Caenorhabditis elegans: one gene and its partners. The protein of the gene in region 4 interacts with the protein of the main gene of each other region in a pairwise test. Each region holds a gene or a part of one and is shown on either strand. Other genes may lie near its edges. The genes, in order: cat-4, dyc-1, tsct-1 and T07D4.2.

Region 1 (6,517 bases), on a different chromosome or scaffold from region 4:
ACGATTTTGATCCTAGTTTGACACAGTTGGGAGAGCCAGTACGAAGAATGAAACATGCTGATTTTTTGAAAACTGTGAAAGCTGTTATGGATGAAGAGTTCTACTTTTGTAAACGATTGGAAGCTCTACAAGATATTCTACTGGAAACTGTTGAACGAGCAAATCCTCTACATCGACATGGCTCTGAAGATATTATAGTTGAGAGAATCGAAGAAGCAAAAGATATTCACGAATCTGAGTCTGACGATGAAGTTGGTACAACTTTTTCCAAATCAGCTAGTTCAGGAGGATTCTCCGTCGGTGGTTCGGCTTTATCCTCTAACGCGTCAGCTACCACTCTTCTTTCGATTGAAGTCAGATCAGAAGCCTTTTTACGACACGTGCTCCCATTGATCGCAGAATTCGGTCATCAATGTGCGCAACAACGGATTTCACGATTGCTCATTGCTCGGGCCAAAAATGCATCAGTGACAGAAGCTACTACACCTACCCAACTATCTGAATGCATTAAACTCGTTAAAGAATTTCAATCCAAGTGTGACAAGGAAGGATGGTATTCCACTCAGAATCAAAAAGTTGGAGGTCTTGGAAGATCTGTTAACAAGCTTTCTATGGATTACATTGAAAAATTCCATGCAGCTCGAAAGATTCGTATTGGAAATATGCTTGACACAGAACTTTGGAAAGCGACTGATGTTTCGATTGTGGATCAGAACATTGTCGACATGGCGATGGAAACGGGCCAATTAAGAAACACAAAGCGAATAGATGATGGTCCAATAAAAAAATCATTCAAAAGAACAGAAAGCGCTGTGACAATTGATTCAACAACATCTACTTCAAATCAAATTCAAGGTGTAATTGTTGATGAAGAGAACTATGTTGTTGTTGGGTTTGTTTCAAATTTTGGATTTAGGATTACGAATATTAATATTTTAATTTCAGATCATCAATAACAATGATCCAGCTCCTTTCTGACTACTGTGAAGCCATATCTGAAATGCCATCATTTTCCCAAGACTGGAATTCGCGAGTTGTGGAATTACTGAAAACATTTAACAGTCGGTGTTGTCAATTGATTTTAGGTGCAGGTGCCCTACAATTGGTTGGATTAAAGACTATATCTGTTCGAAATTTAGGTATTGCTCTAAAGTTTTACCGTAAAAAGTGTTCTTTTTTCCAGCACTCGCAGGTCGATCACTCGAGTTAGTATGCCGCTTCATTCCGATGGTTCATGATGAGATGGACAGAGTTCTTCCTGAAAATCGAAAAAGTCTGCTTCGGTACTTCAAGCAGGTTGAAAGTGAATACCGCGATCACGTCAACGAAATTGCTGCCAAATTAATAAGTGTAATAGCTCATTATACAACAAATTGTCTTGGAATGTGGGATGTGAAAGGAGTGATTCCATCGCCAGAATTTCAACAAATTTGTCGCCATATGCTGAAATTCCACAATGGACTGGTTGGCATCATGCCAAGAGATCAGATCGAGGCGTTGTTCCGTCAAGTACACGAAAACTTTAAAGCCAACTTACGAGAACACGTCACTGGAATGGGTATCACACCTCATGACCCTTTAAAATACGGGTAAGAATAAATTACTGAAATTTCAACTATAATGTACTATTTTCAGATATGTCACAAAAGATTACATGTTTTATCAACAAAATGTGAAAAACATGGAAAGTTGCCGTAATTTGGAGCTCGAGTCGCTTAATGACATTATGTTTGAATAGGACTTTTCTTTGTAAAATATTTATTTAATTTTCAATCTGGTTTATTTCTTGTGTATGATTGTGATTGTTTGACTAATTACGGTGGCTTTTATTTCACGCTTCTTCTGTAAACTTCCCCAATTCACTGGTCCTTCATTCCTAATTTTTTAGTTTGTGCTTCTGGGCTAGCTTTATCACTTTCATTTCCCAGTTAATTGTTTTTGTTTTTATTTATCTGGTATTTAGTAATTTATTGCATGTACAATAAAAGCATATTACAGTATCCAGGCAATGAACATGTTGTATGAATTTAAAAAGCTGAAGCATAAGATGTTAGTAGATTCACATGGAAAGTTATGAAAAGTTAGTAACAGTTAAAACCCAAAAAAACAAGTAAAAAAGGAAATGACTAGAATTTTTAGCGTTTGTTGATAAGATTAAGGAATTCTTCGCGAGTCTTTGGATCGTCACGGAATACTCCCAACATGCAGGATGTTGTGGTGGAAGCATTGATCTTTTGAACTCCTCTCATTACCATACACATGTGACTAGCTTCAATAACAACTGCAACTCCGGATGGTTGTACAGCTTGAACCATTGCGGTGGCAATTTGCTTTGTAAGACGTTCTTGGACTGAAATATTTGAACGTTTAGGTTAGGTTCCAATCAAAAATGTAATTTCTCAATTTACCTTGAAGTCTTCTGCTGAACATCTCGACTATTCTTGCCAACTTGGACAGACCAAGAACCTTCTTGTTTGGAATGTATCCAATATGAACTTTTCCCATAAATGGAACTAAATGATGCTCACAAAGGGAGAACATTTCAATATCTTTCACAATAACCATCTCATCGTGATCCTCGTCGAATACTGCCTCGTTGAGGAGCTCTGAAAAATGAAACTTTGAGCTTTAACGTTGTATTGCTATAACTGACCATCAAGTTGATCATCGTATCCCTTTGTGAATGCCATCATTGCTTTGGCAGCACGTTCTGGAGTTTTCAGAAGTCCCTGACGATTGATGTCTTCTCCTGAATTCCCAAAATCAGTCAACGTGGGAAAATGTATTTTGTTTTCATTTTTTCCCTTATAATCAACGGACACAACCTATTTTTTTCTGATTTATGTTATAGATATATCAATTGAAATCACAAGTTCCTGATGATGTGCTAGGGTACCTTGATTGCGTGATGTAATAGATTACAATTTGTCATGAGTCTTTAAATTAAAACAATTTTCGATCTTGATTTTTGATTTGAGAGTGGAATATATTGAACTGAACTTCCTTCCAGACAATAACAACTATCAGTTATAGATCATCGACTTTCAAAACATCTTGGTCAAATTTATATTTGGGAAAATATTTATCAATATTCTTTGAGTCACTGATAATGAATAAATGCTAAAACATTATAATCTCTAGAATGAATCAAAAAGTGTGTTGAAATGTTTATCGAAACCAAAGTTTTCCTAATTCTGCTGACGTAAACAGTTGACAGTACGTTTTCAGAACTCTATAATCTATTCTTAAACAGCTTATTTTAAATTTGTTGTTGATCGACTAATACTTTCCGAACCAAAGAATCACATGAACTCACCGACATGTTGAATGATGCTCTGATAGGCATTGCACATTGATTTCAAATGATCTTCCTTTGGAATCGTTCCGTTTCTTTTCTTCATCTCAACTTTATCGTCTTCGGATCCAACACTTGCGGCGTCAGATGACAAAAATCCGCTTTCGTTCTCAATTCTGGACATTTTGATATTATGATGTTGATAGAGTGGGTAAAGCCTGAAAACATTGATTGAGTAAGTGAGTGAAATAAGGTGATATTGAAAATGAGCCGTGGGTAAATCTTAAGAAAGCTGAGAAAGCGTAGGCGACAAAAAGAAAGGATAGACATTCAAATAATTGCCGGATGAAACCGAATATGTGCAATGTCCAAGCAAGAAAGAAGAAATTACGAAAAAAAAAGGTACAACACGTCATGTATTATGAAAGGTATTCTGGGAAAAAATAGGCAAAATGAAGGGACAGAAGGAAATCAATCTAGTCGAATGGATAGACTTCATCATCTTTTCCCACTTATGTGAAAAAATGAGAAAAAAAGAATAAGAAAATAGCAAAAAATCGAAAAAGAAACGGAAGACGTCGTCCCATACATCAATCGTTTTCCGCCATTCCTTCATGGCAGCACTTCTAGGTATTCAGGAAAATGTGGAGGAAGAATAATTTATTTATGCAAACAAAAGGAACATGTAAAAAGAAAATGAAACCGATTGATTAGGTGGATAGGCGCAACAAGAAAAGAAAAAGTGGACTGGTCTGAGGAGATACAGAGAGAAGGATCGTAAATCAGCGAGGAATGATATAGACCTTCACTCACGTGGACTTCTAGTTCACTATCAGTTTTGTTGCCGAAACTTTGGCAGATTAATATCTACAAGTTACTCTTTCATGCACTACAATCGAAAAAATTGAGAAACTTTATATTCAAAACGAAATTTGGAATTTATCAAACTTCACATATATTTCTCACGAAATTCATCAAATGGTCCTCCTGGGAAGTTATTTAAAAACAATAATAGGATCACATGTGGTAGAATATACTCCTCCTATTTTTAAAACTCATCACACCTAATAATATTACTCATCGAAACAACCAATCTGAAAAATAAACTAGATTCTGGCAAAAAAATTACTAATGAGTTTAGTACAACACAGAAACCGTGTTAAACTCTCATATATACTGCCAACAGCCACAAAAATAAAATACAATTTCTAATATTTCACCATGTCAAAAAAGTAGGACCTCAAATTTGGGAACGATTTCATTCAACAGTTTCGGTTTTCAAAAATTGTAAAATTTTAACTACTTTCCTTTCTAAGTCATCATCAGGTGGAAAAATGAGAAAGTAAAGAAAGAAAATGAAAAGAATTGAGGGGTCTAAAGAAGTACACTCACTTTCTTCTATTCTTCTACTTAACTACCTACATAAGAATTTCGTTGAAACAGTTAAAGCTAGTAGAAAGATCAAACCCACGCCTTTTTTTTCCCGGCAGACTCGATGTGTTTTGATGACATTCACACGAAATGACGAGAACGGTTCCAAAATCAGCTGAAGATGAGGGAAGAGGCGTTTCGAACTTGTAAATGTTTTCCTAGTTTTCTAGTTCTTTTTCATCAGATATCGTTTCTTATATTTGCGATTTCTGGGCTGATTGGGTACAAGTTGGGAGGAGGTGATGACGAATGAAAACAAGAAAACTTGAAATACTATTTTGTTATGATCAGGATTTTTTGGGTTATTCGAAGTCTCTCATAACTTTTGGTTCTTCAGAGTTAGAGATTGAGAATCAAAAAGAACTATTTGAAAAAACTGAGCTATTGTCAATATTCTTGAAAAGTAAAAAATTAAAATCGAAAGTTGTTACTGAAAAGTACTGCCAAATAATACCGTAACACTCGTAGAGGAAGTTCCCCGCAATTTATTAGGTTGAACTATAAATAAGATAAGAGCATAAGCAAAATGCCGCCGCTAATGATGTACTACCAATTGAAGCCGCAATTTATATGGAGTTTATAATCATTGCATGATAAATTGGTTCAGGAACTTTGAATTGTCACCTTTGAGATAAGATCGTGCACAAAAGGAGTTTGCGGGATTAATTAAGTGACGGCGATTACGTCAGAAACATAGAGAACAAGTAACATAGAGAGTGTCCTAAGGAATACGGTTTTCTGACTGGTGATGATTTAGTGAACATCATCTTGCACAATTTTTTAGACTAGAATGTTCAATGGCGCGGTTGAAAGAGTCAATAGATTATGAACTGGATTATGTGATTTGGAATTATTTATTTTCCTGATAAGAATCACTTCAAACTTTTATTACCGCAAGTTTGACTTTATTAGACCAAACTCTACAGGCTTACCGTATATTCTCTATTAGTGCTGCACTAATTTTTGGGTTTTTTTTTTGAATGCATCACTTTTAAAAACTGCAGTACTACTTTAGAATGCAGAACTAATTTTCGAGCGCCTCTGTTCAATTGAAGGTCATTAGCATTTAGTTACGAAAGGTCACCTTTTTGAGCATAAATTAATTAAGATTGTGGGTTTTCGTATTTCAATTATGTATGTAAATAAACAACGAATCTTGTACAATTATACAAAACACTCAACAAAATGTCAAAAATATTTTGACTGTTGATATAAAAAGAGGTGCATTTCAGAAAAACCCCGTTAAAAGCATCATAAATTAATAATCATATATATTAGGAAAACAAATAAACAGAAAGTATCCATCTTCTTCTCTTTTCTTATAGAATAACGATAAACTTTATATTACTTTAAACAATGGTCAACTATGTCAATTTATGTTACAATTTCCATCTGCAACATGCAACCTTTACAAATTTTTTTGCTGTTAACTTTTATTCAATTATAAAAACCAACAAGCCAATAACCAACTAGAAAATAGAATAACATAATTTATATATATATATATGTATAAAACTTATATTCCCTCGTATTGACGTGCCGGTGGCATTGGTTCCACTCCGTAAGTTCTCTCCGGGCATGGACAATATCCAGCATCTAGGCCTGGCATTCCATTTTCTCCTTTTTGTCCCGCTGGTCCAATTGGACCTGTTTGACCTTCTTTTCCCTGCAATCCGGCTTCTCCGCGAGTTCCAGGTTTTCCATTTTCTCCATCAACTCCTGGGTGTCCATTGTTACCAGCGTTTCCCGTTTCACCGACTGGTCCAGTAGGTCCAGGGTGACCAGATCCTC
Region 2 (7,190 bases), on a different chromosome or scaffold from region 4:
ATAAAAATATTTTTTAAACACTTTTTAGCTTCCACAAAATTTAAATTTTGATTTGAAATTACTTTTTCAAAATGGGTTTTCTTGCAAGAAAAAAAATCGAAATTGTGAACAGCTTGTAAAAATCGATAAGTGTGTACTAATGGATATTATTTTAAAATTAATTTTTTGAGTTTGTATTTTTCTCTGAGAAAAATTTCAAAATTTTATTTTTTGTTCAAATTTCATTCGACTTACGGCTGGTTTAAAAGTGAAGAAAAAACATGTTAATCATGTTAATATAAAAAAGAAATCAATTAAAAAAAATTCAATTTTAAGGCGTTTCAATAATCCACACATAAGTCTCCCAAAAACCTTATTTTGCACTAAAAACGTCAGATATGCTGGGCACCAAAACTTGCAGCTACTTTTCATACTTTTCATACAAGGTCTGCGAACACGATACTTGAAAAAGTAAAAAAACTAGATTTTGAAAAGCAGACAACTGGTCTCCGCCAACACGATAAAGAACATGTATGTTTCGTTGATGAGCTCCGAAAAGTTTTCGCTGTCTGTCTGTTCAAAAACATGAAGAACATTGAGCACGTTATGTGAACCCAACAAAAACGTCTAGGATAGGCCGAGTGTAACCTGGAAGTGGAAGCCAGTGAATGATGTTGTGTAATTTACGATGGCAGAAAACAATGTTATTGATTTTTGTTCTTTTTTTTAAGCCAAAATATTGCTTTTTTGATCCATACATTTTATTTTCTTGCTTTCAAATGAAGTATAATCTGTGAAAATACTTAGGATTGCATGGTAATTCTGATTATCATTTGTTCTTTCTTCGATAATTTTTGTTCAAAACGTTTGAAAAATACTTATTGCCACAAAAAATTTGAATGAGTCTTAGAGCTTATTATCATCTTAAATCACGAAATCTTCAGCAAGGTCTGTAGTTTTTTAAATGAAAATTGCATTTTCTTGATAGTAGAAAAATGTTTGGGTAGTGTGGACAAGTGTGTAGACAATTCAATTTTTCAAATTGAGGGGCATTTACAGAATTACAAGAGTAGTATCGCCAATATGAAAAAAAAATTTTTGAGTCGGATAATATTCTAAATTGTGAACAAAATCAGTTTTTCCGCCACTTCTCGAAAATGGGAAGTTTCGGAAATGTAACACCTGTGGGAACTGATTAACAACGCGTTGGGAAATTGTATAGTGATTAAACATCGGTATTCATTTCTATAAATATTATTCAAAAAAAATTCATGTAATACATACTTAATTGAAAACCACATAAATTTTCAAATTCGATAGTTTCACCATATACAAAAAATTCAACATTTTAACTTTTTCGACGCTCTTTCTAAAAAAAAATTTGATCACAGTACTACTTCAATAATAATAATAATAATATTGAAAATAATGACTAACCTTTTTAGAACACTTAAATACATTGCATTTAAATGTGTTACTAGCTCCATCCCGTGCAATGTAGGAAAATATTTGAAGATCTTGAGAATCATGTGACACGTAGAATATCCTTCAAAATTTTTACAATAACAATTTTACAGAAATTTAACAATACCTGTATATTGGGTGAAACATGACAAGTAATTTAGATTCATCCCAAGAGAGACCTTTCTCTTTCTGTTTCTTCCGCTGAAGAACAACTTTGACACCATCGACGGATACGGTAATGTCGACCGGGCGTTTTTTGATACCACGAGCTTTGAATTCGTACTGAAAATGGTTTTATTCAATAATCAAGGAATTAGGAAAATAGATTTTCAAAAGCGTTTTCTTCAAACACTTCAATTTGGTTGTTTAAGAAAAAGTCAGTCAAAATCAACAAATATGACACGGTCAAATTCAAATTCACATCGATGATATGCTTGTTCAAATATTGATTGCTTATGTTTCCTTAATCAACAAAAAAAGTTTTAGATACGACTATAGGTTTTAGGTAAAAAAGTATCAGCTTTTTTGCAGTGTGGCAGATTATTCAATCAACGCCTAGCATTTACTGACTTTAATATTGATTGATTTAACAAACGAAAAAATTGTAGAGAAGAAAACACTAGCAAGTGTAGAATTTGTAAAAAATTCAATAAATTATGATCTTTCAAAGTATTACGATTCTATTTTCTACACTACTAATAATAATGTTGCAACCATGTAATTATACAAATTTTAGATTATACTACTAATTTTCAATTGCAAATTTCAGCTCATTTTGAATATATCTCTATTTGCGAGTTTTTATAAAAAAAACTCACTCGAACTCGTCGCATCGCCGCCACAATCTCGATTCTCGTCCCGGGTCTAGGAATTTCCATGCTTCCGACATACTGCAAAAACCCTTTTTGGATTAAATCCAGTAGTTTTGTTTTTGTTTTCTTTTTGAAAGAAAAAAAAAACTAAACTTCCCACTATGATTAAATTTGCAAACGCGTTAGGACCAAACTTGAAGACAATCTAATCTACACCCTCCGGGCTTTTCAGAATATTCAATGTTCGTTTAAACAAGATTAGCGTTGTACAAACATTCGAATACATCTTTTCACAAACCTTTGCTTCGAAATGAATACCATGCTGATAAGCGAGTTCGTTATGGAGTGGAATACGGCAGTCGTAGACATCGTCGGCGATGATATCGTACGGACCATGCTTTTTCCGCACAGGCATTATATCCTCACCTCTGTAAAATATGAAATAATGATGAAATGGTGGAAATGTTAGTAAAAAAGTATTAAAGAAAAACGGTTAGAGAAGTAAAACAAGATGTTAGATGGTTTCAGCAATAAAAAACATGGGTGTTTTGAAGAAAGTGAATTTTAAACAATAATCAAAAACAAAGTGGTATTAGACACTCGGCAAATCGCTGTTAGTACGGGAGGACGTATGTCGATTACAAATTCCTTGTTATAAACATAACATGTTTAAAAAAACTGAATGAATGTCAATTTTAATAAAGTACAGAGCCTCTGGTTTGTAAATGTTTTTTATTAATAATATTACTGGATTGCGTTTCCGTAATAATACATCTTTTTTGCACTTTCTACTTGACCGAAATGTTTTCGTGCAGATGAAAATAATGAAAATTAAAATATTTACATGATACTACGCAAGACAACATTTTATCAGAAAGAAAATTTGGACTTTAAAACTATTTTCACGCAGAAAAGGCCATGAGGTTTCAAAACCAATTTTTTGTTAGGTTAAGATAGGGCTGGTAATCCAGAGGACTGGCCTTTCCGAATGTACTGATTTTCGGACAATCGGGCGTTCGGTTTTGAACATTCGTGGATTTATGGGAGCGTATATCCCGACATTTTTTTGTGTTCCGCGTCTCATTGTGATAATGCGTGCGTTTCTATAGTAAGCAGCGGAACCCAGAAAATGTCAGGATGTAAGCTCCCCTAATTCCTGTGATAAAAAAAATTTCCACCTTATTTTGCCACCCATGGTGACTCCATGTGGGCGGACGTCCAGATGGCCAGCCCTAGGTGGAAAAATAACAAAAGTTGAAGTAGTGCCAGAATGTTATTTATGCTGAAAATCAGCAGAAAAAGAGATAACATTTTCAACAATTTTCCGAATGTATTGATATTTTAGTCCATGTTTTAGGTACACTATTAGAAATTCATTTTAAAAATTACTATGCTTTCAACTGTAAATTAACAAAGATTTTTTGTGCACTTTGAAGAAAATTGTTAGTTTCATATTCTGACTTTTCAGCCCCTAAACAACTTTCCTACTGATGCTACTCCGTTTCTAAATGGACAATAAACACTTGTTAAACATTTCTGAAAAAAAACGCTCACTCAAAACCGTATCAAACCTTCAACTGCATATCGAGTATATCAGCTACCATGAGCCAGTATACTACGAAGCAATTGTCCGATATCAGGACAATTTGGATATCGTATTGAAACTGGTGGTGACGTTGGAAAACGTTGGGTGAAGAGGTGAGGTTCGCTGAAAACTCAGTGATTAAGCTGCTAAAAATGACAAAAAGGGCACACTATGAAAAAAGAGCAAACGAGGAAAAATAATTGAGTGATGATGAGAAATGATGAGGAACAATGGGCCAAGTAGATGGGGGAGAGAGGAAATGAAAGAAGAAATGAATAACTCATGCGGCAACGCAATTTTAAACACTAAAACCAAATATTTTTGCTTCTGATCATTTTCCTGGAGGAAAAACGGATAAGGGAGTATTGAACAAAAGAGCAAATGCAGAGAAAAGTGTAGGTAGTGTAGCTAAAAGGACTTTTAAGGAAAGTGGACTGACCAAAAGTCCGTCCGCAAATTGAATATGAGAATGGAAACAGGAGGAAAACGGAAGCCGATGTTAAGAAGGAGGGAAAGAAGTTTAGGATGATGGGGGGGGGGGGGGGGGGGGGGACAGAAGAAATAGAAGAAGTTGCGAGCCGAACAAAACTGGAAATTGGTTGGTTGGGAGACCGATGAGCGAGGTTCCCTGGAGACGTTTTCAAATAGGAATATAAAGATTGAAGATGTGTTGAGAGAAAAAAATAAAATAAAAACGCAAAAAAAGAGGAGGGGCGCCTACAAAACGGCTACAAATATGATTGTCAGTGCGGGGGAAAGATATTTCTACTTTCATGGATTTGAAATGAATAAATGTAATGTTATATATATTATACAATACAAAACTTGTGTTACTGTATTTTTCAAGTAGTTCCATGCTTTCATATGAATTTTTAAAATTACCATTATTACTAACACAGCACGTGATGGCAAGCGGTCTCATTACGATTTGATTTACAAAAAAGGCGACGTCAGCACACCTTCAAAAATGCCAAAAAAATCTGTCGAGAAGTCTGCGTCTAGATCCCCGCACATTCCGTAGATCTACGTAGATCAAACCAAAATGGGACACTCTGACACCAAGTGACACAACTCTTATAAACTCGTTTCTCTGATTGATTAGTTGAAAAAAGCTGATAGTATTCACTACAAAAGCAATGATACAAGGAAAATTAGTGCAATATCAAACATTTCGGATTGGTACAAGTAGAATGGCATACCAAACCATTATCGCAATGCATCTAAAAATAATTCAAAAAAAAATTAATGTCAGTTGAATTTCCAACATTGTGACAAAAAATGTGGTGTTAATTATTTTACGTGGTTTCGTATACTGAAAAACTGTATTTATTTACATGTTGATGTCAATGTGAAACATGATAAAAACAAAAAAAAAGCTTCACTATTTAGGAAAACTATATGAATTAAAAAATTACACATAGTTTGCGATTGGGAAACAAATTTCAAAAAAAAGGAAACCATACTTTTTTTTAGATATTGGCAGTAGCATAATGCACTAGAGCAAATATACGAAGTTATATTCTAGAAATTTGAAAGAAACGCAACAAAAATCAAGATGAAAGCATGCAAGTTTTGCTCTTTATATATCGTCTCATCACCCGTTCTTCTGCGACATTGGAAGCAATTATCCACACTATCACTCAGTTCCTAATCGATTTGAAAATAGAAAAAAAAATCGGAAAATGGAGGACAAAACAGGGGCAAAAAGAGAAAAGCGGTCGGCGGGGAAAAGAAAACGAAGAAGCGGTTGCGTGTGTGCCGTACTCTCTCATCGTCTTGTCTTGCGCAATTAGTTGTGATTTTAGGAAGCATGCGTGTGCATGTATGGGTGCACTTGTAGCTGATTGACTTATGCGCATCTCCTTCTTTGATAGAATTGCCGAGTAGAAGAGTTTAGATTTGTTGGAGTGATGGAGAGGAGTCACCGCTCCTCCTCATCCTATTCCTCCACATCTTCTTTTTTATTGTGACTGACTTTGTCGGGAGCCTTGCTCCAAAAACTTACTCTATCTTACTCTATCTACCACATCTTCGTCTTCTTGCGTTGGCCTTTTTCCGCCAACATTTTTGATGTAATGTGTCTTCGGAAGGCGTCTGAATAGAAAACGAAGCAGAGTTGCATGTTTTTCGGCAGTTCTTGGATTAACTTTTGTGGATTGGAATGTTTGTCAGAATTAGATGTGGAACCATCAACTTCAAAAACATTTGGGCCAAGATCATGTTGTGTAATTTAAAAATAACAAAATTATACTTATACTGAAAGAGTTCCAGTTGTGATAGCCAAATTCAAAATAGTCTAGCCCTGCATTGTAAGTACATATAATACGATGAGGCCAGGATAGACCTTTAGTTTTCAGTTTTTGCAGCGTCAATGTTATATATCATATTTAAAAAAATGTTACAGTTTGACACCAGAATTTTAATTTTCAGAAAACGGTTAATTGTGCAAATACCTATTACAATCTAAATGAATCAAATATTGAGGGTATTTATATTTTATTAAACATTGAAGGTTAAGCACCAAAATCTGAGGCTTTTATTTTTTAGACCCAAAATTGCACAAAAATTATCGAATTTTGTAATGAGACGTATTGAAAATTCTGGAAAAAAAGCTCATTTTCAGCTAAAATTAATTTTTTTTCCCAACTTCTCGGCGTCGCAGCGTCTGGAACTCAATGTTAATTAAATTATCACTCTTTGATAAATATTGTGGTGTTTAATTAGGCGTTTATTATATGGGTTAAAAAAATTGTATTTTGTCGTGCTCACAATATAAAATGCTGCACAAATACATTTTAAACTTTTTTAAAATAAAGAAATACAATGACCGAGCTCCAAATTGATTCAACTATCGCAGTTTCAAGAATATTATTCAAAAAACCTGTTTTTCGAGAATTTCATATTTCAACCAGTTTCAGAAAAAAAAATCTGAGAACAACGAAATTTGGATGACAAGAAAAAAAAGAAGGAAAAAGCGCACAGAAGGAAACAGAGGAATAACAATCTAAACAAGAAGACGTCGTTGATTAGCTACTTGAAAAACGTTCAAGAGTCCATACGAAATTTCATTTCCAGAATGTACGGCATGTGACTCTCGAAAGATTGGCACCAAAAGACAGAAATTGTTAAAAAGAGGAAGGAAAATGAGCATTTTCAATTTTCACAAAGACAATAGTGTCAAGACTCGCGTTTCGTATGTGCAATTGACATTGTTCAGTACTAATATGGATGTTAACCAAAAAACATGGATCTGTGTTTTTTTGAAAATTATTTTAGGCTGAACGGATATTAGGAAGCTGCTACAATTTATTCGAAAAGCTGTAATTTTTAAGTTGATAGTTCAATTGAAA
Region 3 (7,416 bases), on a different chromosome or scaffold from region 4:
CAACGCCTTGCCAATTCTCCAGAGACTTTTCTAGCCACCTTTCAAAGTCTACTGACGCGCGCGCGCATTATCTCACGTGATTGCTTTGGATATTAAGATTTTAAATCTGGGTTTATTTATGTGAGATCACTCACCGCGGCTGACTTTTTTGTAGCACACGAATGCTGTCCGCCTCTTCTGCTCCGAGAATTGGAGCAGAGGTGACTGTTGTCGGCCGAGGGAATTTCTTTCGGACGGTGATCACATTGTTTTTGCTTGTTACGATCATCTTGTACTCGTCTTCTGGAGGATAATTTCCAAATTCTGAAAAAAATAAATTGTGTTTATTGTCCAGTTTATTTTTTTTTAATCAATAATTTTGAAAAAAGATTTTCACTGGTACTTCAACAACCTCAAACATTTTTTTAAAAACACGTACTAAAACACGTACTTCTATGCTCGGAATTTTGAACTGGTATCTAATAAATTTATTGATTTTCTTCTAAATTGATAAATTATTCGTTTTCAAGTAGTTAAACTAACCTCCCATTGCCGACCCAAATCTGGTATCAATCACTTTCCATCTGCCACGTGTAAACTCTCCTGGAACCGGAACAACTTGGAATTTCTTCTTCGGCTTGTCACAGTTTGCATTTGGAGGAACGACCTCAATCACAGATGCTTCATTGGAAGTAGTACTCATTATTATTGTGTTCTGTTGGAAAGCCTGAAAAGTTGAAAAAATAAGTAATAAATAGACAATAAAACATTTTAGCATTTTAGAAGTAGTGTATAAAACAAGAAAATCTGTACTTTCACAAACAAGAATTAAAATATACATTTGTTCTACTAAAGATAAATTGAAACTTTTAGATTTTTGGTAAAATTATGATGACTTATAACAGATTCAAATACTTTTTTTCAATTAACAGTAAGATTAACGGTTTTTAGTCGTTTGGACACATAGTTAATCAAGAAAAATTTGCATATATTTGAAAAGCGTATAATTACATCTTTGTACACATCGTTTAACTAATGCCATTAGAACCTATGAAATTAAAAAAAGTTGATGACTAATTAGCAAAATTTGATAACATTTTTGCGCCGTGGACAAGACAGATATGAACAAAAGTTACAACGATTTGACCAAAATAGATTTGAATTAATGTATTTTGGGAAACAAAACGTACGACATTTTTATATTAAAAAAAACATCTTTCGCCTTTAATTTGGTTAGGTGAGCAAATTAAAAATTGTTTTGAAGAAAAATGGCAAAGATAAGTTTCAAAAAATATGCTGGATTTTTTATCGCATTAAAAATCACAATCGTTGACTGATTACACTCAAGAACCCTTATTCGAAATTTCTGTTTCAAATTTGAACAAAAAACGAAAAGATAAATTGGTCGCAACATGCAGCAAATGATTGATGAACTGCTGTGGGAGACATGAATTGACACGTAATTTCAATTTTCTCGAAAAAGTGCTCGCGGTGCTGAGGAACAGCTGTACTTGCTCAAGTGTGATGGCAAGTGTGTCAAGTAAATAGACACGACGGCGCAACTTTTGGCACGGAAACTTTGGAGTTTTTTTTCTGTTTTTTTGTGTTACTTTGTCATCTGAGTAAACCCATGAGACTTTGTTTTTTTTTCAGGAAAGAAAGGAACGCTTAGTTTCTCTCTCTCTCTAAATGGTGCAGACAGTTATTGAATCATATTTTTTTAATAGTTTGAGAACGCTGTAATTGGAAAAGGAATTTATGAAAGTTTGAAGTACATCAAGGACAACTAACAACAGTTCAAGAAAGCCCAATAACTTTATGAAAGCACAGTGCAAAATCTGCAAGAACTTTTGTGACGACATATTTTCTTAACTTAAAAAAGCATTTATTTTTCAAGTTTTCCGCTTTGTGAAAAATTGTTGAAAACTGTTTTTTTTAATTTCAATGGCAGTGCTTTTTCTACTAGTTTGGAAGGAAAAAAAGAGAAAGCCAATTTTCGTAACTAGAAAAATGAAAAACTTGGTAGCTTTTCATACCTTTTTTCAAATTCTTAGAGCTTAAAACTCAAGTCTTACAAATAATCCTACATAAACCTTTGCCAAAAAAGCTAACGTTCAATGAATATGCAACAAGAAGTCAGCTTTTTGCAAGAAGAAAAAAAAATAGATGAGCTAAGAAAAACGCGTATTTTCTCTAACAAAGCCACCTAGACATGGCGCAATAACGTCTATTTCAGATACAAATAATACGAGATTATGACTGTGACATTCCAGTGAATTGTAAGATTTCTGAGATTATATTTGAAGTCATTGTCAAAAAGAAAAATATATAATTCTTCTGAATTATTATTTCAGAGAGAAAGATTTTGAGGGAGTTTTAAACAAGACACTGCGATTTCTCGTTTTCAGTCACTAGAAATGTCACAGTTTATAAGAGCAAAATAGAAAACGAATGAAAAATTGAATGCTGTACATTTCTCTTGCTCTATACTGGCTGCTACCCCACTTTTTCAATCACACTGTACGCTTCTCTGTGTGCCCAGACAAAACCATTGAAAACTACTGCTCTGCATAGCCCGCAAAGCAGGAAAGCTATTTTTCAATCGCAAATAAAACGAAAAAAGCGCATGGGAGCGCGAGATAGAATGCAATCTTTTTTTGAAACTTCGATTCTGTAGTAATTATGCAAGTTGTGGTTGCAACAATGGTGCTCACAAAAGAGTTGCGAAGAGTAAATATGAAAAGGGCACATGAATAGCGATCAAATCAAATGACGAACTGATAAAAAAGATAATATGTAGTTGTCATGTGTACTCTTGAGCGAACGTGCAAAAGAAAATTGGACACATAACATTCTGAACTGGAGTTTGAAGGCGGAGAAGATCCAAAAAGGAAATTGTTTTTGAACAAATTAGCTTTGAAGCTTTCTCTATTATTCTTGCATGCAAGACTAATTTTCAATTGGTCCGTAGGGATGTAAGACTAGGCCTGTGGAGTGGGTCGCCCCATTTTTTGGGTCGGTCGGGTCGGGGTAGGAGTCGGAAATTCTAATATCATGAGAGTGGTTTTGTATCATTTGGCTCTATATGCTCTCCTCATTTTTCAAACAGAAGTTCAATTTAAATGTTACGCTTGGAAAAGAGCAGCACACCACACTTTTGGCTCATTGTTGATTGGTGTTTTTCATCGCGTAAAAACTGGAAATTTAATTGAATACTTTTGGCACTCGTATTCGGAGGGTCTCATTGACCTTTAACTTTGTTTTCTGCAAAAGTCTCACAATGTAGGTGTTTCAAATTACGTTGCATTTGATTTTTTAACGACATGAAAAAATTTCAAGATTATACTTGAAATTTATGTGTTCAAAAATGTTACTAGAATAAATTATTTTCAATTTTTGAAAGAAAATGTTCCACATTCTTTATACATATCTTTGTACATATGGCAACTAAACGTTTGCGAAATTCCTAACATTGAACAAGACAAATTATTTTCAAATTAAATTGATATGCTGTTGAAGGAAAAATACGTAAAAATAAGAAATTCTAATTTTAGTTATTGTTTATTCTTATATTTTATGAACGCAAAAAGCACTTGATTAAACAACAGAAATCAAAAAGTTAAAAAGAAAAGTTGCTGTTCAGACTGACGGGGGTACGGATAATTCATGCAAATCGGTGTCATTCTAAAAATCGATATGTGGAATTGAATCAGAAAGGAAATCGTCGAAAAAATTACAGTTGACTCACGATTTCTGTATTTTAGAGTTTGTTTCGCGGCAGTCACGCGTTTTACATTGGCGACGGTGAAGAAGCAAAACGAAAGGACAACAAAATTGCGTAGAGTTTCTCTTTCTCAACCAACCATCAAAAACGTTTAGATTTGGAAAACGTGCTGGAGATAAACAAAACACATACATAAACACGAGGTCATTGACAACGAAGAGCCGGTTGTTTGATCAGGCAGATCATAAGGAGACAAGGTCATGTGGTTTATCTTAAAAATGAACACTTACTGCGGCAAAGATGAACATTCTCAGTGACAGGATCCCTTGCTGCGGTCTCTTTTAGCTGTAACTACCCTGAAACTTTAAGTTATTTGTATCTTGTAAAACCAACGTTATTGACAATAGAGAGCAAAAAAAGTTGTGAAGATATAAACGCAAACCATAAGAAGGAGTAACGGTTCTGCTTTTTATTTGAGTAAAAAATTTTAAAAATTGAGGTTCCGCAGGAATCTTAAATTTAGGCCACTTGTCCGCGGAGCGACTGGAAAAAATATTATTATTTAATCACAACCTCATTTTGAAATTTTGTGTCGTTTATGAAAAATTCGCTAGTTTAATCTCAATTTCTACAACAGGGTAAAGTTGATAAAATTTTAGAATTTTGCTATATTGAGTATTTTTTTGTTAAACTTTTCAACCGTTAAAAAGAAAAAGAAAAAACACTTTTGTGAAATTTTCAAGAAGTTTCATCCTGAGAACAAATTTGCAAAGTTGAATGCAAAATTTGATTTTTTTTATCACTTTTAAACTTGCGTTGAACTTACGTGAAACTATCTTATATTAATGATTGATTGGTAAATTCACAAAAATTATGCCCCATGTTACAGATCTTGTGAAAATTAATTAATGTGTGAACACATATTTTTAAAGTTCAAGAAGTTTTTTAATTGAAATTGTGAACAAAACCACGTGATGCATTTGCGGACGCACAGAGAAATTTGATATTCACTAGGAACATTAAGTATGTTTATTTTTTCGTTTTTTTGTATGTTTTAAATATTCGCAACAAAAATTTCAATTGTTTTAATTATAACATTTATGATATTTGCAAAGTATTTCATCTGATTAAGAGTAAAAATAATTTCTGTTATTTTCAAATATCATAAATAAGAAAATAAATGAGAATGGCAAGATGAAATATGAGGAAAAACGGGTTTGTTGTAACATAAATAATGCTCATCGCACATGTGCAAATACATAAAATACGTAAACGATGAGATAAAAAAATTGAATTTCTCGAACGTCTCTATGTGTATCTAATCCGATAAACACTAGTTTTAGGGAGTTATGAGGATGTTTTTCGTCTTGTTTTCTATTTTATTTTTAAAGATTTTATTTTTAATTATAATTTTAAAGAATGTCAAAGTGTAGAAAAACCCAATCAACAAATGAGCAGAAAAATTAAATGAGCACTCAATGTCCTTTTTTGGAAGAGAGCAGATGGTAGTTAAAAGCTAAAAAGACGCGGAACCCTTTTTTTCAAATGTGTTCCTCTGTGACGGCTGGCTTTTATGGGTTGAATGAAAGAATGATGGTGTTAGGGTACCACCCGACACAAAACAAAACAGAGCTGTTCTGCAAGATCAAAATGACGTTTTTTCAAAAATATATGCCAATTTTCTTAAAACTAAAAAAGAACAAAACTGATACAAGAATTGAAATTCCCAATGGGGTAAAATTCGAATGGGATGAGAAGAGGAAATGGGCGGAGGAAGGGGGCAAAAACGTTAATGAAATTTTGTTTCAAAGTTTTGTTTGCCCAAGGCTATTTTCTACTTTTTACATTACTTCAAAAATTGTAATTTCAAAACAAAAGTGGACTGGAAAAAATTAAAAAATAAAAATATTCCAATGGCTGCGCTGCAAACAAACAATTGGATGCTTCCAGATTTTCCAAATTTGCTGAAAACAGAATCGACAGGTATTTTGGGCAAATCTTCCTGCACAAATTGGGAATTTAACCTTGGAGCTCAGAGAAAAATGATCTACATGCAAATGTATCTATATATATTATATATATATATATATATATCTAGAGAATTTATCAAAGTATTAATTTGGCAATGTTGAAAATAGGTAGAGAAAAATCACAATCCCAACTATTTTTTTTCGAATATGGGTGTAATTGTTCTTGGTATATATTGAATAACGTTTTACACTTTACAAGTACTATCTCTTACATAAAAAATAAAGGGGAAAATGATTAAGCTACATCAAAAGTTCGAGAAAAAGTAACTAGTGTAACAAGTACGGGCTGTGCAACAAATTATTCGAAAAAAACTGCATTCAACTAAACATATTCGATATTTATACATCACTTTAACAACTTCCTGTCTGTCCTCCAGATTATCTTACTTTGAAGAAAAAAGAGCAGCAGTCTACTAAAACAAAGCGAATGTTAAATAATTGAAAACTGTGTCACACTTCACTCAATGATTCGTGTTCCTTGTATGACACTTTTTATGGGGTAAAGTTTTTGTGATGAACACAGCATGACAAATAACAGATGTATGTACCATGTAGCCAATCCTATAGAAAGCAGACAGAAGGCCAAATGGAAACTAGGGTGACTAGAGAAGGTGTTATAACTTTATGCGAAACAATGAATCAGAATTCAGTGACGAGTGCAAACCAACTGATTTAATATTCTATTTTTGGGTTGATTGTGACAATAAACACGGAAAAATTGGAGAGAAATTTTAAAAATAGTAAGCATCATTTTCCGACTCAGAATGCAACATTTCTAGTGGGTGACAATCGCATGGTCACAGTACACATCACAGAAAAATTTAAATCTAAATTATTGAAAAACAAACATCTAATACAAGAATTATAGTGCAGCTCAAAAAGTTCTTCGAAAAACAAAACTCACTAGAAAAGTGAAACCTTTCAAAGCAATGACTGAAGAACACATTTCGGCCCTTTTTGTCTCGCTCTCCCGTCCACAATTTTTTTCTGCAAAAGTTTGGTTTCCGCTGTCGGATTCTCTAAATCCTAAGCATATATAAAGCTGTTCTGGCTGACGAGATTGAAAAAAATGAACAGCGCTGTTGGGAAAACAAAGAACAAAAGTTCAAAACGATACAGGGTTTGTTAATTTTAAATTTATTCCTCTATAAATCTTGAGTTATGATGTAATTAAAATCGAGAACAAGAATTAAATATAAATGTATTAGTTATGAAATCATATTAATTAAAAACATTTTACCGGTTTAAAACAATAAAATTACAATTGAGTTATACAATTTACAATGATGTAATTTACATTAAAATGAATCTACACCATTCGTTTCCTGTACCTTTAATTTTCTTTTTTGATATTTGTTAACGGCAGTGACTGGACGAGTCTTATTATATTTCCGTTGATAAATGAAACAAGCATTACATTGAATTCCTTCCTTTGATCGAATATTCCTCCAACGAATTGTTTCAGTTACTGAACAATTTGAGCATTGAAATGACTTCTTATTATCAGAATTGCTCGGTGTAGTTGAACTTTGAGTAGAGGTAGATGGAGATGTAGATGGAGTGGAAAAATGAGTAAACGTGGTGAAATGTGAAGAATTAGGACTTCCAGTAGTTGATGAAATATTTAAAGATGAAGAATCCATTGCAGTTGGATAATAAGAAGCATAAGTATTGACATAGTCA
Region 4 (9,428 bases):
TTTTATAACTACGCACAGGATCATTGGTATCTAGCGATCCCTACTCATGATTACAGCAGAATAGGAAAACACCGGCAAATCATTTTTAATGTTGCTGGAACTTTTACCAGAGAGCGAGAGATCATGTCCGTGTGGGAGAGTTGAACTCATACTTGTTCATAATAAGTTATAATCATTTCATAGTGAATAAATTTCTAGAAATTAAAAAAAAAGAAGATAAAATCTGAAAACTAAAGGCGTACACCTTTTCGCATTCAACAAAACTTATTCATGTTGAGACCGGGTACCGTATTTTTGGAGCTAAAATCATAAAATTTTGCATCTATAGATATGTGATAATGTTAGGTGGCAAAAATAAATATAAAATTTCTTTATTCGATAATATTCAAGTTAAGAAATACCCAAAATTATTATTCGGACACGGAACAATTCAATCGATGGATTCATAAAAATGTTGCAGCCATCTGTTCATCCTCTCCGTGTTTTGCTCACCCCCTTCCAAAATGTTCCTCGTCTCTTTCTATTTTAAAAGCATTCGGCCACAGTTTCAGCGACGAAAACAAGGTTTTTGTGGGGATGTGCCGACAAAAAGACAGCTGCCTGGGAGTGCTTGATTTATTGTGGAAAGGTTAATCGAGAAGAAAAGGCTGATAGAGGTGTACGGAAAGAAAACGGAAATCAAGAAAAATGAATGTGTGATCAGGAATCATTCGGATGCATTTTAGATTTAAACTTAAGGTAATGGAGTCATAATTAAAATCCTGGAAAAAAACTCCCGAGGTTCACTAATATTTAACGGACCAATCATCAAGTACACATTTCAAGAATCATCATCAATAAAAATAAAATATTGAGACATATTTACACCACCCTCAATATTAAAAAGCACGAGATATTTCAGATTACTGCGGGTCTAGGAATAGTATTTTTAATTTTCGATGTTTAAAATAATCTCAATTCTTCATATTTCTCAGTTCTCCTTTATCTCAAAAATTCATTTGGTTTTTTTATAATAGGTAAATTACATGTGTTCTAGGGACTGCATATTTAAAAAATTTTTAATTTTAATTACAGCTTTAAATTACTAGTAATGACCAAAATTGCTGTCTGCTTACGTGCCTACAAAGTGTACCTCGCCTTTATAATAACCGAAGACTTATTTGTCGTAGAGAAGATTTATTTGAGCGGAGCCACATTGCACCGGATGCCTTTTTCGTGGAAGGCATACAGTTTTGGCATTTGGGTGCAACTTTCTGACAATTTTTGCCCCTGAGAAACGTGCGCAATCTACTTCCTTCTAAAAACTAACCAAATTGTTTTAACAGCTTTCATGAAGTTTCCCCTAAATGCTATCCCTTTTATCTGAAATTCATAATTGGCTCAGCTTTACCAGCTTTCCAAATATTTCTGGCTTTGACGCACTTTAAATATATTATTTCATTAAATCCTAAATATAAAGTTCACTAGTTTTGTCAAGAACACATCCAAACAACTCGGTTCCTGTGTACTATTGCATCTTGTGACCTACAAACTAGTCAAGGATCTTTGAATTTTTACCATAAGTACCCTTCAATAATATCTCCCAGCTCCACCAATTCAATCAAGTTCAAGATTTCAAATTGATTGATGTCGACAAATTAATTGAGAGTACAACTCGATCCGCCCTCATCAAATCCTAATCCATCACTCGTAATACATCGACCTTCTTCATCAGATCTTCCCTGTTTTTTGTGCACCACTCATCATTATTATCTCTTTCCACCAGACTCTTCTCTTTCAGTCGACTCTTCGGCTCAACTTTGATCCCTTATTGTGACCCGTTGTGGGGTGTTAAAAAAGTTTATTGATGAGTTATGACAAGTCTTTGTGGTGAGACTGAGAACGATGAGGTGGGGGAGGAAGGTATGAAGGTGGAGCCATTGTGTGCACAAAGTGGTTGCTACTGGTGGTGAGTAAATCAACACCTGATGAGCTGTTCAAAAAACAGAAGCAGAAGAAGAACCAGTCACTTTACTCTTTGCAATGTTTTCAGCTTTGCTTTCTTATTTCTATGATACTAGTATTACGTTAGTTTCGCATTATATTTTTTCAGAATTTTAGCTTGAATTTGTTCACTTATAATTCGCATATCACTACATATAACTTGAAATAGAAATGGAAATAGTTAATAAGATAATGATGGAAAGATCAATTGAATGACTAAAAATAAAACAATTAGAACTTCTGAATGAGTTTAGAGGTAGATTATTGGCTACTGGACCTTCGTAACAGTATCTATTTGTAAATACTTATAGTAGTTTTTGTAATTAGTCTTTACTTATACTAGGGCAATACAAAAATATATTCTGAATCGCTACAGTTTGGATGAAATCTCAATAAAAACTAGGCTCCAATTTTTAACCTTTTCCAAGTGTTCAGAAACTTTATTTCTACAGTTTAGAGTTTACTTATATTTTCCTATTCCACTGCATTAATTTTCTCATAATAGAACATGTGAGTAGATAATTTCTATGTGATTTATGTGATACGTTTGGCATATGTTGTACTTTTTCTCAGTTGCACACTTATCAGCTTGTGACCTGGTGGCACTCAACCCTTGCCGTCTCTCGAGATACATTGTACCGCAATAAAGATTTGAAAAACAATACGACATTAGCAAGAGCTGGTCCAAACTTGTGCAAGGTATGAGTGGCGTTTCTATTGAGAAAACACGGTCTACTGTATTTTAAATATCTTGATAAATGTTATTTGCTCTGTTAGTATAAACTTTACCAATTATGTCATTGCCAACAGCTATATTCAACTACGTCACGAATCCTATGTCTCACTTCTTTGCAACAAAAACCCTTGATCTTTTTAATCACATCTTTAAATGAGAGTTGATCTCATTAAACTACTCATTTGCTCAAGAAAATTCTGCACTCAATGCTGAATTGCTTTGTCCGTGTTTAAGTACCTAATTCCATGATCCAGACACATCTTATCTCATTCCGAACATTCCCGAACTTTCGTGTCATCCTTCACTTCACTTTGTCACTTCTCAAAAAGTTGTCGTTTCTTCTTGCTTGTCGACCCAAAAAATCATCGAGATTTTTGCAGGAATGCTGAGTCCTGCATTGCTCAAAGTGTCACTCAATCGAAGGTTCGTCAATGATTTTTTGTAGCTGCACTCATTGTTTGTTTTATGTTTCAATCTTTGTGTTTTCAGAAGCTCCGCTCCTGTACCACAAGATGAGGTGAGCCAATTGGTATTGAAGAAGGATAGAACTCTGATCAAATGGAAAAAAGAGGAAGAAGGGGAGGGGGTTAAGATGGATAAGATGGAAATGCTGGAGGGAAGAAGAAGATGGAAGGTTTCATTGGCGGGTACCTTTGAGAACCATTCCCGTGCTTTGGTCACTTGTCCTGATTTTTTCTTCACTACAACCTGATTTTATGGAGCTATATTCTCAAACAGAAGTTGATAGATAAAGTGTATCACCATTCCGTTTAAAAACTGTATTTGTAAAAGATTTATGTCTCAGTTCCTTAACATTTTTGGTAGTAGTCCTCGAACCTCGAAGCTACAAATAATAATTTGCTCTATTTATATGATACTTCCACTTCAAAACATTCATATTTTAACATAATATATTTATTTCAGAAAATGATGTTCCATTCGCGAAACCGGGCTGCATCATATTTGCAGCCGATGATAGAAGATCAGGAATTGATTGGATTCAACAGAGATAGAAGTGAGTTCATAATTTCTTTTTGCCTCTCTCCCGATTCTCGTAAAAAATGAGAATAAACAGCAAAATGTGTAGTAAAGGTTGAATAACGTGTGAATACCACGATGGCAGCTTCAATGTTCTTCTTTTAAAATAAGTTATTAACTTTATAAAAAAAACCAGAGAACAATTCAGATTGATTCTCAGAAAAAAAAGAATACTTCCGTCTATTTCTAAGTTGTCATAACTATCTTTATCAGGAAGAAGTTCCGGCTCAATAATCGTCGACAGTTTTGAACTCGGAAATGCTTCGCCAAGTCGCCGCGGTTCAATTGCATCTGGCATTCCAATGGACAAAAAAACCCGACGGAAGCTGTCAAATCCGGTAGGTTTTCTATGTTGTTAGCTCCCATCAACAATTGGAAAAACAAAATGAAAGATAAAATGATAAATGCGTTCGAGCATGATACCAATCTGATGAAAAGAAGAAACAATCTATCTCATATTGAGTCGGCATACCAACTGACGTTGGAGTCTCTACTTTTTTGATTTAAACGAAAAAAAGAAAGAAAAGATATCTGAGAGCCGATGATGGTCGTCTTTGATTCACTATTCATCAGATGATCCACTGACGAACATTTTCTCACCTTTCCCTGAGATGTGCCAGCCTATCAGTTTCATTTTTACCGAGTTACCGACCTTTTTTTTTCGTAATTTTTAGTTGCTTTTCGGGGATTTTTTTGACTACGAAATTTTCTCAGTAATTTTTTATTTTTCTTCCTTTGAAGAAAACATTTTGCTCGATTTCCATTGTTGCTCGAGGTTATTCACAGTTTTCTGAATGTGAAAAATTATGAGAAAACGCGGCTCCCATTCTTTCAGACTTTCTCTCAAACCTTCAGTATTTTGAAACATTTCAAAAACTCGCAGAGCATTCGTATTATGGTAACTTGTCCAGGCGACCGGCAGTTAGTTTCATATTCGTCCAATCTTTCCAATCTAGTTTCAGCCGAAAACCACTGCTTTCCCAAGTATACATATATTTAAAAAATAAGAAAAGAGAACTAACTATTAACAGAAAAAGAACGGGTAACTGAATATCCTTCTGCATTTAGTTTGATGTATCCTTCAAAAAGATAAGGAACAAAAAGTGACCAGCACATACATATATCGGATGTCTCGTTTGCAACTTTTGGCCTCCCATCCCATTTCCTGTCACCTCGTGACCTCATCGTTAGATCGAAAACCATTTGAGTGCAGTCAATGTTTTTGACACACTTCAGATACTCGCCATAAATCTTTTGAATCTTACTTCTCCATTCAATCTTTTCGGCTCTATTTCTTCATTTGTTTCTTTCTTATCAATTGTTCACACAGCCTGAAAATGTTCTCCAAGTCGAGCAATCGGTTCGGAACAACTTCTATATTTGGGGATCAGTCTATTAAAGATGAATACCGTAACCGACAGAGACGTCTTTCTCTGATTGGTGGACCTATAAGTGGAACATCTCCAAATCGACGAGAATCACTTGTTCGAGAGTTAAGAACTGTAAGTTCAAAGAGTCTTTAGTCGCCAGCTGTTGTCAGTTCAAGCTTGTTAACAACAAATTACATGGGGGGCCAACATTTGTCAAAAAATTGCTTCCATTTTGTTATTAGTACGAACAGAAATTGAAAAAAAGAAGTAAAAAACTTGAGTCTCAATTTCCTGATTTATTTAGTTCTACCACTAATACTTCAATGTATTTCCTAAGGATACACAGAAAATCTCAAGATTCTATAAAAAGTTGGTATTCAGAGACTAAAATTCATAAAAGACCGGTACGTTTTTTGCATGCCGTTTGGCCCAGTTTGTGTTTTAAACCCTATGTATAGCAATGTTTATTTTTAATGCTATATTTTCACAGTATAATAATTTGAAAATTTTAATTGTATTGTTATATCCGGTCAAAGGTTGACAACAGCCACACAAGCCATGTGTTTAATGTCGTTAACAACAAGATGAATGGGAAATTAATTGCTCCGCAAGCTTCTCCTTCAGAACAATACATTTATTTTCAGGTATCTCTTCATCAATACACAGAAGATCCAACACTTGCATGGGAAATGCTGAAAGAAAAAAGACCAGTGAAACCAGTTCGTCAGATGAGACTTGATACTCCAGTAAAACCAGATCATGTGAGATTTGTATGTATTGGATGTACACATGGAGAACAATTTGATATATCAAAACTCCCACCTGGAGATGTTCTCCTCGTGGCTGGAGACTTCACATCATGCGGTCTTCCAAATGAAGTTCACAATTTTAATAAGTTACTTGGAAAACTGAAATACTCTTACAAAGTGGTGATAGGTGGAAATCACGAATGCACATTTGACGACACATTTTTGAAATTGAGTAAGTTCAACTCCAATAAACCATTAACGATCAATCACCACAACAAAATTTGCAGAACAAGAGTCTGAACCAAAAGAAATGGCACTGAAACAAGCATTGTTATCAGCAATTCATTCTGATTCAAAGGGTGGAATTTCAGCGAAAGTAAGCATGATTTCAATTTATGAAAGTATACAATTTTTTGTAGGATTTGTTATCAAATGCAATTTATTTGGAGGATAATGTAATCGAACTGTTTGGAATCACAATTTATGGAACGCCATGGTAAGGATTGCAAGTTTTCTGAAAAAATTGTGGTAGATTCAAGTCGAAATTTGAAACAATTGTCACCTTCGACAAGTATTATCATTATATATTTTGTAGATCAATAAAAAATATAAGTTCGAATTGAATATTCTTTCTCACAGCATAATTCTATGAGTTCCATATTGAACCCATTGTATCAAAGCACAATTTCAAAAATTGCAGGCAACCAAAAGTAGACAATTGGGCATTCAATCTCTCTCGTGGACAACAACTATTGGACAAATGGAACCTGATCCCGGCGGGCGTTGACGTGCTTTTAACTCATACACCTCCACTTGGTAAGTTCAAAGTACCACAAATAGTAAAACACAAATTTTGTGCAGGACACGGCGATATGATGAACAATGGACAGAGAATGGGATGTGCCGAGTTGTTGAACACAGTTTTCAAGCGGGTTCGACCAAAGTATCACGTTTTTGGACACATTCATGAGGGCTACGGATGCACAACTGATGGATATACAAAGTTCATTAACTGCTGCATGTGTAATGAAAATTTGGATTTAAAGGTGATCATTCGTGAATTTTGACTTATTGAGAAAAATTGGGCATGACTCTGGGACGACTTTATTCAAGCAGCACACAAATTTAGACTATCCATGATTATTAAATTTGACAATTTCATCGTTAAAAATTTTCAGAACGAGCCAGTAATATTCGATATCCCAGTGCACCCTCACACCAAACAATTCTACATTCAAAATGTGAAGAAAATTCATAAAAGATTCCAAAAGAAGAAATAAATTAAATTCCTCTCACTGTCACCTCTGTGTCATTTTGTAGTTATAATTATACCACCACTTTTTAATTTTTTTTGCTCTTTTTCCACACCACGACCATCATCATCTATTTTTCTCACTCATTGAGCCCTCCTCCAACCCCATAAGAACAAAATAATATCCCATCCGGAAATGAGTCTTTATGAACTCGATGCGCAGTCAACAGCACCACAAAAAGAGCAAGAGAAGGTTGATTGTGCTTCTGCTGCGACAGCTTCTGCAACTGCTTCTTCTCGTCTTCCAATTCTTCTTCTTTCACCAAAATTGCTCCCGCTAACCAGCAATAAAACATTCCAATTTGTGAGCCTCTTTCGAGTCAAACATTATGAAATTCAATACCAAATTATGCTGCAACCTCCTCTTTTGCCCTCTGAAATCAGATATTGGCCATGTGTGGTGCGGTTCCGGCAGTGCCGGCTTCTTGCTCCACACAGACAAATCTCTTTTGTTATTCATCGATGTCTTTTCTCAGAGATATCATCAACATTAGACTTTTTTCGATTTTACTGAAATTCATTATTTCTAGACCAGAAATATCTGAAACAGGGTGAAATCTAGTCAGAATGATTTCCACCCAGAGTTGTTTCATATAGTCTGTAATTTTTTAGATACAATATTTTTCTTACGTCAGACAGTATCCACCGTGTCAGTTGAGAATACACATAGGTTTTAGTTTTAAATCACCACAAAAGCTAACAAGCGCCACATTCAGTTGCACGTAGAAATTAATCTCTGACCTAGAATATATGATAGAATAGAAAAAGGAACCAATCCATTAGGAATAATGAAAATTCTTTGGCAATTTTTTCCGAAATGAATCACAAATGAGAAATGACTCATAGTGAGATTTGAGATCATCTAAATTTAAAATAAAAGTTTCGGTTCTAGGTACCAAAAACAGGTGAAAAATGTGTTTCACCTCTAGCTAGGAATCGAAAGTTTGAGAGAACATTTCTGGAAAAATTATTTGAAGCAGTTTAAAAGTCTTCTAGGATTTTCTACAAAAATTTGTGATATTCTTTTCTTTTAGTGAAATGAAAAAAAACGGATTTATTATTTATAAATATCCGTAGTTATGCGGTTTAAAAAAATTTATGAAATTGACCCAGTACAGAACTTCAATTTCACTGGTAGAATCAAAGTTTGAGTAAACTCGGAACTTGTTGTTTACCCTTGAAAATGTTCAGCCTCCTCACGTATTCTTAAACTTTTCATCACAAACGTTCACATCACTCTCATAAAAAAATCTGAACTAAAAAACCATGTGGGCTGTTTGACAAGAAAACACATGAATAGATTACTCAAATATGGATCTTCGAATGTTTTAGACGACAAGGAAGAAACATTTCCTCTGAAAAGTTCGCATCTTTGTGCAAACAAGGCATGCGTTCAGAGATGTTTGATGTTAAAGTATTACCTTCTTTTATGGAAAAATATGTTACGATTCCCAGTTTGCATCCTAGTGACTTCAGAAGGAAAGCTTTGTTTTCTGAATATTCTATTATTGCTTTTTCAAAGGGGGTCATTTACATACACTCGTTCCCCTCGTCAATATCCAAATATGCGCTGCTTCTTTTTCGTTTTTGTTTTCGATTTTCATAAAATGATGGCATGTTCATTAAAATTTTGAGTTACGCTCTTAAATAAACGCCTCTTCAAATGGAAAACATTGGAAAACAGGAAAAGGGCTCAAAAGTTCACAATTTCGAACGCAATCCAAAATATTATTTTTATAGTTCGAAACATGAAATTCTTAATTTAAATGTGGAGTACGGCCAGTAACGAAATGATTAAAAACTATTCTTATGGTGCTAAAATTACAAACTCAGTTTTCACCGCTGTTCGACTCGAGAAAAAATTCTAAAATTCTAAAAAGTTTTTTAACGTTATTTAGCAATTTTAAAACTATAGAAAAAGTTCTTGACCATTCTCTCACTTGGCGTACTTCACTCTTAAGCCACTAATAACATTTATATTTTTCAATTTTTGAACTTTAGAGTACTCTAGCAATTAACTTGTTTTTCAGAAATTCAATTTTTCTCTCCCACTTTTCGCAAAGTTTAATTTTTCAAAATAATTGTACTCTCCGTTGCTATACGTTGGTTTCTGTTGTGGTTATTTCGACTTTAGAATAAAAATGCTCAAATAGGAAAAACAAACCACTTTTCCTACCAAAAAATTCTTCTGAATTCTTTATTCCAATTTCTTGTCATGTTCCGGTTATTAGGGAATGTGT

What was found.
Region 1: the proteins of T07D4.2 (region 4) and cat-4 interact in a two-hybrid assay, tested with the Caenorhabditis elegans proteins (one large-scale study listed by BioGRID).
Region 2: the proteins of T07D4.2 (region 4) and dyc-1 interact in a two-hybrid assay, tested with the Caenorhabditis elegans proteins (one large-scale study listed by BioGRID).
Region 3: the proteins of T07D4.2 (region 4) and tsct-1 interact in a two-hybrid assay, tested with the Caenorhabditis elegans proteins (one large-scale study listed by BioGRID).

The regions. Positions count from the first base shown.
Region 1 is NC_003283.11:10,561,876-10,568,392, reverse strand, and holds cat-4 (GTP cyclohydrolase 1), read right to left. Parts: upstream 3,514-6,517; 5' UTR 3,480-3,513; coding exon 3,317-3,479; intron 2,750-3,316; coding exon 2,654-2,749; intron 2,607-2,653; coding exon 2,409-2,606; intron 2,351-2,408; coding exon 2,136-2,350; 3' UTR 1,954-2,135; downstream 1-1,953. Other genes in the region: vps-54 (Vacuolar protein sorting-associated protein 54), read left to right, coding at 1-892, 946-1,139, 1,184-1,589, 1,636-1,738; col-152 (Nematode cuticle collagen N-terminal domain-containing protein), read right to left, coding at 6,243-6,517. UniProt on the Caenorhabditis elegans protein: Involved in serotonin and dopamine biosynthesis that affects movement, mating behavior, foraging behavior, and cell migration.
Region 2 is NC_003284.9:14,046,308-14,053,497, reverse strand, and holds the start of dyc-1 (Dystrophin-like protein 1), read right to left. Parts: upstream 3,964-7,190; 5' UTR 3,827-3,963; intron 3,671-3,826; exon of another isoform or gene 3,650-3,670; intron 2,684-3,649; 5' UTR 2,671-2,683; coding exon 2,554-2,670; intron 2,334-2,553; coding exon 2,262-2,333; intron 1,726-2,261; coding exon 1,571-1,725; intron 1,526-1,570; coding exon 1,417-1,525; intron 1-1,416. UniProt on the Caenorhabditis elegans protein: Together with dys-1 and hlh-1, participates in a common muscular function.
Region 3 is NC_003284.9:12,430,749-12,438,164, reverse strand, and holds the start of tsct-1 (Protein tsct-1), read right to left. Parts: upstream 4,069-7,416; 5' UTR 4,012-4,068; coding exon 3,994-4,011; intron 1,529-3,993; exon of another isoform or gene 1,462-1,528; intron 707-1,461; coding exon 523-706; intron 304-522; coding exon 135-303; intron 1-134. Other genes in the region: med-1 (GATA-type domain-containing protein), read right to left, coding at 7,032-7,416.
Region 4 is NC_003280.10:8,867,614-8,877,041, reverse strand, and holds T07D4.2 (UPF0046 protein T07D4.2), read left to right. Parts: upstream 1-3,099; 5' UTR 3,100-3,101; coding exon 3,102-3,142; intron 3,143-3,208; coding exon 3,209-3,236; intron 3,237-3,643; coding exon 3,644-3,734; intron 3,735-3,970; coding exon 3,971-4,095; intron 4,096-5,087; exon of another isoform or gene 5,088-5,094; coding exon of another isoform or gene 5,095-5,259; intron 5,260-5,771; coding exon 5,772-6,108; intron 6,109-6,163; coding exon 6,164-6,252; intron 6,253-6,295; coding exon 6,296-6,372; intron 6,373-6,576; coding exon 6,577-6,692; intron 6,693-6,737; coding exon 6,738-6,922; intron 6,923-7,054; coding exon 7,055-7,156; 3' UTR 7,157-7,493; downstream 7,494-9,428.